Macaca fascicularis: one gene and its partner. The protein of the gene in region 2 interacts with the protein of the main gene of each other region in a pairwise test. Links are inferred from orthologs where the notes say so. Each region holds a gene or a part of one and is shown on either strand. Other genes may lie near its edges.

What was found. The genes of interacting proteins can lie anywhere in the genome.
Region 1: the proteins of TNFAIP1 (region 2) and POLR1C interact in binary tests that used the Homo sapiens proteins (3 or more experiments, as listed by UniProt). The link is inferred for Macaca fascicularis from reciprocal best matches to the Homo sapiens genes TNFAIP1 and POLR1C.

Annotation. Positions count from the first base shown.
Region 1 is NC_088378.1:128,002,564-128,009,068, forward strand, and holds the start of POLR1C (DNA-directed RNA polymerases I and III subunit RPAC1), read right to left. Parts: upstream 4,049-6,505; 5' UTR 4,028-4,048; coding exon 3,959-4,027; intron 3,832-3,958; coding exon 3,760-3,831; intron 1,801-3,759; coding exon 1,693-1,800; intron 1,435-1,692; coding exon 1,302-1,434; intron 746-1,301; coding exon 626-745; intron 537-625; coding exon 384-536; intron 187-383; coding exon 37-186; intron 1-36. Other genes in the region: protein YIPF3, read left to right, coding at 4,333-4,413, 5,049-5,255, 5,443-5,549. UniProt on the Homo sapiens protein: DNA-dependent RNA polymerase catalyzes the transcription of DNA into RNA using the four ribonucleoside triphosphates as substrates.
Region 2 is NC_088390.1:33,803,733-33,809,457, reverse strand, and holds part of TNFAIP1 (BTB/POZ domain-containing adapter for CUL3-mediated RhoA degradation protein 2), read right to left. Parts: intron 5,639-5,725; coding exon 5,549-5,638; intron 5,466-5,548; coding exon 5,413-5,465; intron 4,614-5,412; coding exon 4,418-4,613; intron 2,539-4,417; coding exon 2,302-2,538; 3' UTR 1-2,301. UniProt on the Homo sapiens protein: Substrate-specific adapter of a BCR (BTB-CUL3-RBX1) E3 ubiquitin-protein ligase complex involved in regulation of cytoskeleton structure.

The sequences.
Region 1 (6,505 bases), on a different chromosome or scaffold from region 2:
TAGGTCCTAACCTGAACAGCACCCCAAATACCATACCTTGGACTTCCTGCACCTCAATAACACCAGGTGAGAAGCACCTGCTCAACTCCTCAGCTGCCTCCCCTTCCACGGGCTCAAGCAGGGTGATGTCTGGCAGGAGCCTATAACTGGCTGTTGCCACTGGTGAAAACTTGGCATGATCTTTGCCTGGAGAGGAAGAGAGAAAGTGCCTATACGAAACCCTTCTAGGATTAGGAAGAATACTCTTCCTAAGCTGCTAACAGCAAAAGCACGATGCTCTTGGCTTTCTACCTGCTAGGAATATCTCAGCTGAGTTCCCTAGTCAGCTTGCCCCACTGCAACCAAACTACCCCTCTTCCCAGGAAGGAACACAGGGTTCTCACCAATGCCCTTGACACAGTGCATAAGCAGGTCAATTTCTTGGCCAGGCCGCAGCTGAGCAATGAGGATGTCATCGTGCACTGGTCGGATAGTGCCCTCTGGGAAAAGATCAGCCTGATTCCCCAGGGGGATCCATGTCATATGCCTGGTATACACTGGAGGAAAAACATGTCAAAAGATTTCAGTTCCTAAAACTAGCAGCCACCCACAGGTGGGGCCTCTTCCTCACCCTACCACTACTTACCTTTGTGGTTCACATACAGTTCGTTGGGGTCAGAGGAATCTTTAGCAGCATGGGGGTTCCGAGTGCATCTGACTTGGAGACGAAACCGTAGGGTATCTATCTCTGTGCCGTCTTCATCTCCTGCACAAATGGAGGGAGCTCTTAAGAACTAGTAAACATCTGGCCGGGCGCGGTGGCTCAAGCCTGTAATCCCAGCACTTTGGGAGGCCGAGACGGGCAGATCACGAGGTCAGGAGTTCGAGACCATCCTGGCTAACACCGTGAAACCCCGTCTCTACTAAAAAATACAAAAACTAGCCGGGCGAGGTGGCGGGCGCCTGTAGTCCCGGCTACTCGGGAGGCTGAGGCAGGAGAATGGCGTAAAAACCCGGGAGGCAGAGCTTGCAGTGAGCTGAGATCCGGCCACTGCACTCCAGCCTGGGCGACACAGCGAGACTCCGTCTCAAAAAAAAAAAAAGAAAAAAAAAAAAAGAACTAGTAAACATCTGAGTGCCAGCACTATGCTGAATGCTTTACATATGTGTCCCATTTAATTACGGCAAACTTGGGAAGCCAAGGCAAGTGTTCTCACAGATGAAAAACACTGATGTACAAACATAAGTAACTTACCCAACATCACAGTCAACCAGGATTTGAACCCAGACAGTCCACTTCTCCCAAAATTTCATTTTCTTACCTTGATTCCGATACTCAAAAAGACGGGGATCAGCATGAATGGGAATGAGCCCCAGACGGTGAGCAAGGATCTCATCCTGAACAATGGATGTATTATTGTACACCAGGACCTTCTCCACAGCCATAGTTGGCACCTGCCCAAGGAAAAATAACCACTTATCTGCAAAAACCCAACAGACCCCCTACCTATCCCCACAACCCCACCCTCCAGAGGTAAGGAGCTATCTCTCTTCCTAGAATGTTTAATGAGAAATTTACAAAGAATGAGAAGGTAAAATGCTCAGCAAAATTCCAGGAAAAATGAGGGAAGGACAGCTTGAGACAATTCTCCAAGTGAGGTGTCAGTGCAGTTCCCAAAGCAACTCCAGCCTTGTCACCATGCCTGCCAATACCTCAGCTAACAGAATTCGTCGAAAAGCATTGGCAATGGCTGCGTCAATTCCCACCATGTCGAACTCCAGTGAGTTTTCATCCATGTGTACTACATCCACACGGAAATTCTAGAGGGACAGGAAAAACATTTAAGTGAAACCTGCTCTCTCTGTAATATCTCTTCATACCTCCCCCTTAGATAATTCCCTCAAGTATTATCCTCTCATCCAAAAACCTCCCTTTGCCCAGATGTCCCTTATTAAATATTCTTTCTCGCCCAGTGCTTTAGTTTCATAAAAAGTCTCCATTTTTGTCGTCCATTCATTAAAACCCTATGCAATATGGCTTCCAACCAAACCATCCACAGAAGCTATTCCACTAAAGAACAGAAACTACCATAGTGCTTAGTCCTGTTGACACTACCCAGTCCTCTTACTAGACTTCTGTTATGCTTGACATTGATTAAAAAACCTCCTCTGGGCCCAGCACGGTGACTCACACCTGTAATCCCAGCACTATGGGAGGCCGAGGGGCGGATCACAAGGTCAGGAGTTTGAGACCAGCCTGGCCAGCATGGTGAAACCCCGTCTCTACTAAAAATTCAAAAAATTAGCTGGGCATGGTGGCGCGTAGCTGTAGTCCCAGCTACTCGGGAGGCTGAGGCAGGAGAACTGCCTGAACCCAGGAGGCGGAGGTTGCAGTGAGCCAAGATTGCACCACTGCACTCCAGCCTGGGAGATAAGAGTGTCTCATGAAAAGGAAAAAAAAAAAAAAAATCCCCTTTTTTGAACGATTCCCCTGGTTTCTGAGCTCCACTCTTCTTCCATCTCTGATGATCAACTTCCACCCATCTCTAAATTTGCCAGGTTCTTGTCTCTCTCCCAGGTCACCTTAACTGTACTAACAGTTTTAGCAACTATCTGTTCTGACAACTCCCAAAATTTTATCTCACTTCTGATCTCATTTCAAGCATGCAGTCTTCTAGCCTGCTAGATTTCCCCACATACAGAAAACAATGCATCATCATCCCTGTTCCCCAGACCCATTTCTCCTCTTAGTAAATGATACCACAAAGCAAAAAGCAGTTCCCAAGCCAGAAAAAGTCATTTTATGCTACCCCCACAGCCTTTATCCAAGCAATCATAAATTTACCTTATATTCTTCCTTTGCTCTATTTCTACCATCAGTCTTAGTTCATATCTTCAACCTCAGCTTCCCTTACGACAGATCTGCCTGCTCCATATGATCCTCCTCAAACTCATTCCCTCCCAGCCATCAAGGTTGCAAATCTGATCATGTCTGCTTAAGAAACTATTCAAGCTCCCTATCATCCACAGTGTGACACACTTCAATCTTGCCGACCACTCATGCCAGAACTACTTGGACATTCCCGGAGCACATGTCACAGAAGTCATAATTTTTTTTCAAGCATTAGCCTTTTTCATTGTTCATACTTTATTCCTTGTATCAACAGGTTAAAAAAGTAAAATTTTCCCAGGCACTGATTTACACATCATGTTTATAAGCTGCATAAAGGGTAACATTTAGGTCAGTTGCATAAAGGGTAACATTCAGTAATCTATTTAAATGCAATTTTAACCCTTATTTTAAGCTAAGTGAAACAATAATACAAAAGACTAAATACACACAAAACCTGCATATCCTGAACTTCACTGACGTGAAACTCAAATCTTTCATAATTCAACTCCTGTTTTTTTTTTTACTTACCATTCAAGGTTCAATTCAGGTGTCCCCTCCTCTTGAAATGTTAAGTACCTCTCGGCCCCTCTTCCTGGTCTCAGCGGAATGCTCCCCACCCCAACCCTGCCGTCTTCATCGCTATCAACCACCTTCACCATATTACACTAGATGCACTTGTTTATACGCACCATTCCTCAACAAGACGGAATATCTCTGCAGAGATAGAAACCGTGTCTAATTTGGCCTGTAAACGGAGCGTCTAGCACATTGCTCAACAAACACAAACGGAGCGACCCCCAAAAGCAGCTGCTGAGACAGACACAGGCTGCTCAGGCCACAGGGTCTGGCCTTCATAACCCTCCCCAGACAACTTCGGCCCCACTTACCTTCTCGAAGCGGTCCTGGTCCCAGGCATCATCATAACCGGAATAGTTTCCGGGAAAGTCAGTGGTATGGACCTAGAGCAAAGGGACGAGTTTGTCCACAAAGGGACAATGAGCCCACGGCTATCCCCACGCCAATCCCAAGACCCACCCCTGTTCCGCTCTCATTCCTCCCGCCCGAGCTCAAGGCCACAAGGCTTACATTGCGAACCCCAAACTCCCCTAGAACCACGCGGCCCCGCATCTCCTCCACCGCCTGAGAAGCCGCCATCTTCAATCTCTCCACGAGACTGGAGGCTCTATCTGGCGCGTGCGTCCTAGTAGACTGGCTCCGTCTCCGTGGCAACGCGCCACCGCCTGGAATCTTAAATATCGCGAGACTTTTCCCCGCTTCCGTCCACGTCCCCAGCCTCCGGAAGTTGGTTTTGTCCAAACATCCGGGCTTCTCTTTTTTGTGTTCCGGCCGATCCCACCTCTCCTCGACCCGGGACGTCTCCCTCACTAAGGCCCACGTCTCGCCCACTCCTCCGCGCGCGGGGCTAGCGCGGGCTTCAGCGACGGGAGCCTTCAAGGGACATGGCAACTACAGCGGCGCCGGCGGGCGGCGCCCGAAATGGAGCTGGCCCGGAATGGGGAGGGTTCGAAGAAAACATCCAGGTAATGGCCCCAAGGCACTAGCTGCCAGCAACCCGAGGGCCAGCGATGTCCAGAAGTGTCTTGAGGATTCTCCCTGTGGGCCTGGAAGTCCGCTCCATTTGCAAAACTCTCTTCTTTGGGTCTTCGTGCACACTAAAGTCAGTAGGATTAACATTGACCTGAAAGGGCCAGACTAGTACTCCAGCCTGAGGGTCTCGGGTCTCTGGGCCCGCTCGAGGCATTAGGAAGAAGGTATTCTTGGAACAAGTTAGGAAGTTGGTCGGGGTCAGGCATGGAGTGGGGTTGGGTGGGGATTCACTGGCATTCGCTGAAAACATATTATGTGTATAGTTTTGTTTGGGGCTTAGGAAAGAAGGAAATGGGCACTTTTTCAGCCTTTTAGTCTTTGGTAGGTAAGGTAGGAAAAAGACAGGAATGGAAGACTAGTAGTATGTTTCCCAGGCTAGAAAATTCAGCCAAAGCTAGAAACCAAGAGTTCTGAGAGCATATGAGGGGGAATGGAGTGGCATGATCTGTAGTGATTCCGAGCCGTATCCTCAGCAGTGGAAGAACAAAGCCCTAAACCCTGGGATGAGCAGAGGACTTAATGGATGGAACAGAAAAGTCCTGCACTCTAGGAGCCATTGTCTTCACAGGGCGGAGGCTCAGCTGTGATTGACATGGAGAACATGGATGATACCTCAGGCTCTAGCTTCGAGGATATGGGTGAGCTGCATCAGCGCCTGCGCGAGGAAGAAGTAGACGCTGATGCAGCTGATGCAGCTGCTGCTGAAGAAGAGGATGGAGAGTTCCTGGGCATGAAAGGCTTTAAGGGACAGCTGAGCCGGCAGGTGGCAGATCAGGTAAGCATGATTGAATCTTCTGCAGGTGGAAAGGTATACCTAGGTATGTCCCATGTTCTGGAGTTGGTGTTGGTGATGTTTGCCCCAGGTTGTCCAGTTAGAACCATGTAGAAATCAAGCGGAAAATAGGCAACAGGGTCTAGAACCAACAGTCCCACAATACCTATGCCCATCTTCCTTACTTCAGATGTGGCAGGCCGGGAAGAGACAAGCCTCCAGGGCCTTCAGCTTGTACGCCAACATCGACATCCTCAGACCGTACTTTGATGTGGAGCCTGCTCAGGTGCGGAGCAGGTGAGGAGCCTTCTCTTGAAGAAGCTTCCCTCCTAACACCTAGTCCTTTATGCACACTACAATCAGATTTCAAGCCCTGGGCTCTGGTGGGCTCCCCCTCTTCATGACCCCATCATCTCTCATCACTACACCTGTCACTGAAACAAATAATAATAGCTACCAACTTTCTCCTTTTTTCCATCTAGCTGACTACTCATATTCCCTCAAAACCTACCTCAGATGTCACTTCCTCTGTTCCACATTCCTCAATCCCACCCCCAGTTTGTTCTCTCCTGGTGTTCCTATAGAACTTTGTGCTTGGCAGCCGGGCGCGGTGGCTCACGCCTGTAATCCCAGCACTTTGGGAGGCTGAGGCGGGTGGATCACAAGAGCAGGAGATCGAGACCATCCTGGCTAACACTGAAACCCCGTCTCTACTAAAAATACAAAAAAAATTAGCCGGGCGTGGTGGCAGACACCTATAGTCCCAGCTACTTGGGAGGCTGAGGTAGGAGAATGGCATGAACCCGGGAGGCAGAGCTTGCGGTGAGCCGAGATCGCGCCACTGCGCTCTAGCCTGGGCCACAGAGCGAGACTCCATCTAAAAAAAAAAAAAAAAAAAAAAAAAGAACTCTGTGCTTGCCTCTAATAGACAGCACTTCACCACTGCTTTCCTTTCTTATTCCTGGAATCTTCCCCCCAGAGACCAACAGCATCTCAAAAGCAGGCTCTGTCTTGTTTATCTTTTTATTCCCAGCAGCAGAACAGTCTCAGAATCAAAATATCAGGGCATAGTTTTTGAGTGACTTTTCAAGAACTAGATTTAATCCTGGCTTGGTTTTTTTGTTCGTCCTTTAATCAATGCTAATCAAATACCCAGGACCACTCTGCAAGTATTTATTAAGCATTTGCTCTGTGCCAGACCCTATACTAATTGTATCTGGTTCAGTGGTGAAGATAGATAGGAGCCTTGCTCT
Region 2 (5,725 bases):
ATACTGGTCTGTGTTGTTAACAGCAGGCTGCCAGGTTTCTCAGAAACTGACAAGAAAGTCTGACCTTCATCTATACTTTTTTGTTTACTTACCCTTGGGCTGCTTGGAGTTGAAAAATGCACACAGCCAAGAGTTGCTTTCTGAATAGGGCTGGAAACTTTCAAAGAAAACCCCCAAACTTTTAAGCCACAAAGTCTGATTTAAGAAGCTAAGATCATGTCAGTGAGTTCAATGTTAGTATTTTCCTTAAGACCAAGGAGATATTTTCAGTCAGAGAAGATAAATGCCCAGTCCCAGACTACTGTGCTTTCTCGGCAAGAAAGACCGAGACACTGAGGATGTGAACGTCAAAGCAGTAAGCAGGGACTAAAGGGGATGGGGAGGTCAAAAGGCAAGCATCAAAACACCTCAGTGGGGAGCTGGGAATTTGAGTATTAAAGGACCTCAAGAGGGCAGCTGAGAAAATAGGCCAGTGGTCTCAGGCCGACGCATTCCAGTCTGTGGGAAAGTCACAAAGCCAAAGCCTGAATTTGGCCAAAGAAATGGATTTGTCTTTATCTTGTTAACCTCAATGAGGGCTGGAAGAACTAGTAGCTGACCACCAAGGTACCTGACCTGAGAGTCTTAGTGCTATTTATACATTCAAGACTGTGACTAACATAAAATGCCTAATTAGAAAGTCACATTTCCCTTGTCCCGCCGTCATGTCACTTCAGGTCCTTGTGTCTAACCCTGGGTCTGGCATTTGCCCATAGGCTCTGTGGCATCAGCTATCATAAAAGTAGTTAAGAGGGATAAACTTGATAACCTGTGTTCTCTCCAAAGAGCGGAAAGTGGGTACAGTATGTGGCTACGTTGCTTTGTTAGGCTGGCAGAACAGTCCCTCCCTGATACCATTCCTTTGGAAAATAATTCAGATAAGCTGAATTCTGGTTTGGCCAAGCCAAACAAAAAGGAATGAAAACCAAAGCCCTAAAGAGGAACTTACCTCCTGGCTAGTTCTTGGCATCTCCATGGCTGAGTTACCCAACAAGGAGTGAAAGCCTTCAGGGTGCTTCAGTTGCTCCTGTCATCCTGCACTCAGAGACACCACTGGGCAGAACCACTATCCCAGCCAGGACAAACCAAGACCACAGGTGGTGTGGGCAGGGGGTAGATGTGTGGCCAAGCATGGGCTACCTCTGTGCAGGGGCTGCTGGGAGCACCGGGCTCTGAGTTTGCTGTCCTCAGGTGATGGGCATGCCAGCCAACACCATGCAGTACCCACAGGCTCCACGGTCTTCCTGCCGTGGCTCATGTTTCTGGCCCCTGTGACAGCTCTTTGGCTTTACCGTATGTGAGGACAGCATGGCTGGAAGCCAGGGGTACTCAAGAGAACCACAAAGAGCAGTCATGCTAGACCTAGGAGCCAGTGATGTGACTCTAAGATGGGGAGGTAAAATGTCCTTTCTCACAGGCACCCTGTGAGGACTGCAGGTCCCAGCTTAGCCATCCTTCCCTCCTCGGTGCACTCTGAGCTGCTGGCCAGGCTGGCAAAGCCACAGCTGCTTTGTTGGATGTTTTTTTATTGCTTCCTCATTATCCCCTCTTTATCCTCTATTCTGCAGGGAAGCAGGGATTAGGGTAGAAAGACATGGGTCAGGGAGAATATCAACCTCCTGAATAACAGTACAAAGTGCTTTAAAGAAACAGATCCCACAGGCATGGAGAAGGGCCAAGGGTTCTGCCATATGTAGGGTCTTGGCACCCTGGAGGGCAAAAGAAATGCCCAGTTTCCTCGTTACTAGATTTAGAACTATTCATTTCCTAGATTATTTTTTAAAAACCAAACTTACCAAGCCTTGTGCTTAAACACCTTAGGAAAAAAGACATCCCACCTTCCATTATAAAACTGGGCCTCTACAACACCAGGAGCGGCCTTTTCCCCAGAATGAACCCATTCCCCATGGGCCTCAGCTGAGGCCTAAGGGGCAGTAGCCCTTCCACAGAGTGCCTAGGGGAAGGTTCTCGGCAGGAGGTGGGTCAGCCCATTTGCCCCAGGGAGCAGAAGCAGCTCCCTGTCAGACAGGAAGGGTGATGGTGAGCAGATAGGACAGGACTCAGTCTCCATAAGTGCTCGGGGGCAAGGCAGAGGAATGTGGTCCCTCCTCTGCCCAGACCCTCTGACCTCCGAGCAGGGTCTGTCATGCCTCTGGGTGCTGGAGCAGAGACCCAGCCAGCAGCAGCATGGGGTGGCCAATAGGGCAGGTTCCACAGGACGGGAGATAGGGCCTCCCGTGCCCTGACTTTCTGAGGGTCTGGTCAGTCACGATGAGTAGACTGGTGGCCGAGCTGCCGGTCATCGTAAGTGCTGTAGCGCTTGACGTGGATGCGGCGGACACGGTCCCGCAGTTCAAAGGTCTCCTCGTCTTCACTGGGGGAAGCCTGGCTGCGGCTACGGCTTGTAGCCTCCAACAAGGAGTTGTCGGGAACGCGGGGAGTCTCATAGAGTAAAACGTTGAGTGTCTCCTCATAGATTCGGGCCTCTGGGAATTCCACCTGGGGTGAGGGAGGATGAAGACGGAGCAATGTTTCATCTTGGAGAGGGAGCTGTGTGTCAGAGCTGCTGGCCCTGAGGCTCCATAAGGCCTCTGCTACCTCATAAGACAGGTGGCGGTCCGTCTCCAGGGAGAGCCAGCCTCCCTCCTAAGGCGGGGTGAGGGAGTGTACTCTATAGACATGAGGACAGGGAAGACCAACACCCTCCGCACCCCTGCCCCAGCCTGAGACCAAGGGACTAGTGGGCATAGAGGGTGGGCCAGGCCTAGGTCCAAACACAGCTCCACCACTTGCTAGCTGTGGAGCCTTGGGCTGAACCCTTCTGGGCGGTAGCTCCCTTATGTACAAAAGGATGGTTTAGATCAACCCCTGAGAGTTCCTGTCAACATTACAGGAAAGATGTGATTGCTTAGCAGAAGCCTGGCACATAGCAAACCACCAAGCAGAGACATACAAAGAGCAGCTGCTATGCTGAGTGGTTCCGCTGCCTTTCCCTGCCTGCCCGACCCAGTGTGTCACCGGCATGACCTGCCCGGAGGAGAGAAAGGGAATGCAGTCAAGCACCTGAATTCTAGCCTGACCTGCTCTGTTGGACTGAGCTTCTGTTCTCTCATCTGTCACATGGGGAGAGTGGCTCTAGCCCTGTGTGTCTCACAGGTGTATTGTGAGAGGTCACAAGAGTTCATGAAAGAGAACACACTTAGGAAGATGCCAGGTGCTGCTGCCACTTCCACCGCAGCGTCACCAGCCACTAGAGACCTGCCCCTGAACCCTTTCGCCACCGATAGGGTCAGGAGCCACCCACACTGTCACCTTCCCTCCCACCCCTACACCAAAAACTGCAGGAGGAAGCAGGGTCACCTGTAAGCTGGCCTTCCCCAAACCCTCTGCAGATCTCCCAGCCGGAGGCACTTGAGTAGTTTAGGGGTCGACAGGTTGCTTGGCAAGTCTGGCTACTTTGAGCTCTTCACACCTACATGGCCCTTCCTGGATGACCTGCCATCCACCCTAGCAGATCATCTCCAGGACCTGCACTCACAGGAGGCAGCTCCTTTCTGGGGTAACTGACTGCAGCTGGGGGAGAGGGGCCAGCTGAGTTTGTGATGACTGTCACCTATCAAATGCCTGATGTGTACCTGGCACTAAGTTGATTAGCCAGAAACCCCCAGCTAGTGGGGGCCAGTGAGGAGATTTTATTTTATTATTATTAAGAGTGTTTGGAAACTCCTGGGCTCAAGGGATCTTCCCACTGCAGCCTCCTGAGTAGCCGGGACTACAGGCGTGTGCCACGATGCCTGGCTAATTTTTCTATTTTTTGTAAAGACGGGGTTTCACCATGTTGTCCAGGGTGGTCTTAAACTCCTGGGCTCAAGTGTTGTGCCCGCCTCTGTCCCTGGCTCAGATAGGAGATCTGAACAGCATTCCAACATGAAAGCCCAAGCTATTTCTACACCATACTTCCACTCCAAAAAGTTGTATCATTTTCGTATCTTGTCATACCATCATCCCCATGTCTGCAAATAAGGAACCTGAGGCCCAGATGGCTTAAGTGGCTTATCCAAAGTCAGAAAACTGGCAAGTGGTGGAGCCAGCGTTCAAACCTGAATTGGGCCAACTTCAAAGACCCAGTCCTTCCCACTGTACTAAGCCGCTTCCTGCTGGTCAACGGCCCCTGCCCTGAGCTGTCAGGAACAAAGCGGTTCCCTTCCATTCCCCACACCCCCTTGTTCTGGCTTTGTCCTTGCCCAGCACCATTACCATGTTTGGAAAAAAGAGCCAAGTGCACGCCCCTTTTGCTCCGTGCTAGTCACACCCCAACAACACCCTCCTACAGTGGGTGTGTGTCCTCCCTGACCCATGCAGGGGGAATCCCCCACACCTTGGTCTGCTTCTTCTCTGTGGCATACACGATGGAGGTACAGCACACCTCTGCCAGCTTACGGCCCTGGCCATAGAAGGACCAACAGCAGATCTCGTCGCCAATGACATCCTTGATGAAGAGCACGCGGCCGTTGAAGCGCAGGGAGAGCTTGTCAAATAGCTCGATGTTTTTCAGCAGGTGGTCATCAGAGTTGCTGAAAAACCCATGAGGGCCAAGAGGCCTGGGAATGAGGTTCCATTCCAAGGGAGTGTGCTAGACAAGTGGAGCCCTCCCCTCCCTCCCTTCCCCTGTCCTGTCCTGCTGAAATGAAAGCAAGATGCCAGGGGGCCAGGAGAGAAAGGATCATAGGGTACCCTCTGGGTTAGGGGGCCTGTAAGGAAAAGGAACTGAGTTGGTTTTAAGTCAAAGTAGGGACAACTGAGGGAGCAGGTCTCCCCTCACTAACGGGGAAGGAAGGAGACAACGCTGCTATTTCAGTGGGAGGCATTCCCTCCCTTACTGTGGGGGTGACAGTGGCAATGTGCCTGTCCACAGGGAAGCATAGGGAGGGTTTGGGACTCTGAACCTGCAGCCACCTGAGTCTACCTAACTGTGGCCTATGGATAGGACATGGGCTGGAGGGTGTGGGGAGAGAATCAGCCCAGTGTGAACCGCACAGGCTGACTCGGGGGACTCCCAGCTCACTGGCCTCCTAGCATCCCCTTCACCTGGTAGGATGACATGTGTGAAAACACCTGACATGCTGCCTTCGTGATACACGTTGAGGGCGCATTTCACCTTCAATCATTTATATCCCAGCCAGGGCACCCTGCCGAGTTCCAAAGGCCTCTGTCCCAATTTCCCTTCTACTTTCTGTTCTTCCCCCACTTAGCACAGCTAGTTCCAAGACCCAGGCCCAGACCCACGCCGACCATGCTGGGAGTGCAGGCAGCATGCATTGGGTCTGCTGCCCAGTGTCTGCTCTGGCTGCTCAGCCCTGTGACGCACCCTACCTGGTGTAGGAATACTTGTTGTTGCTTCTGTTGTACAGCAGCTTCACCACGGGCTGTGAAGGAGTTCAGAGTGAGGGCCAGGCCGGGGGCCTGGCATCCCCAGCCCGCAGCCCGCAGCCCTCAGAGGTCCCGGTACCTTGGTGGAGGATTCGATGAGCCGCTCCTCCTCCTTCAGGGATGTGATGATGGGGATGTTGCACACAGGCTGGTAGGAGTCCTTCTTGTCCTGCGCGACACAGAACAGAGAACCCTCTTTAGGATCTTCTGCTTTCCAGGCTTAGCCAGGTACCTCTGGAGCCCCTCTGCCATGGCC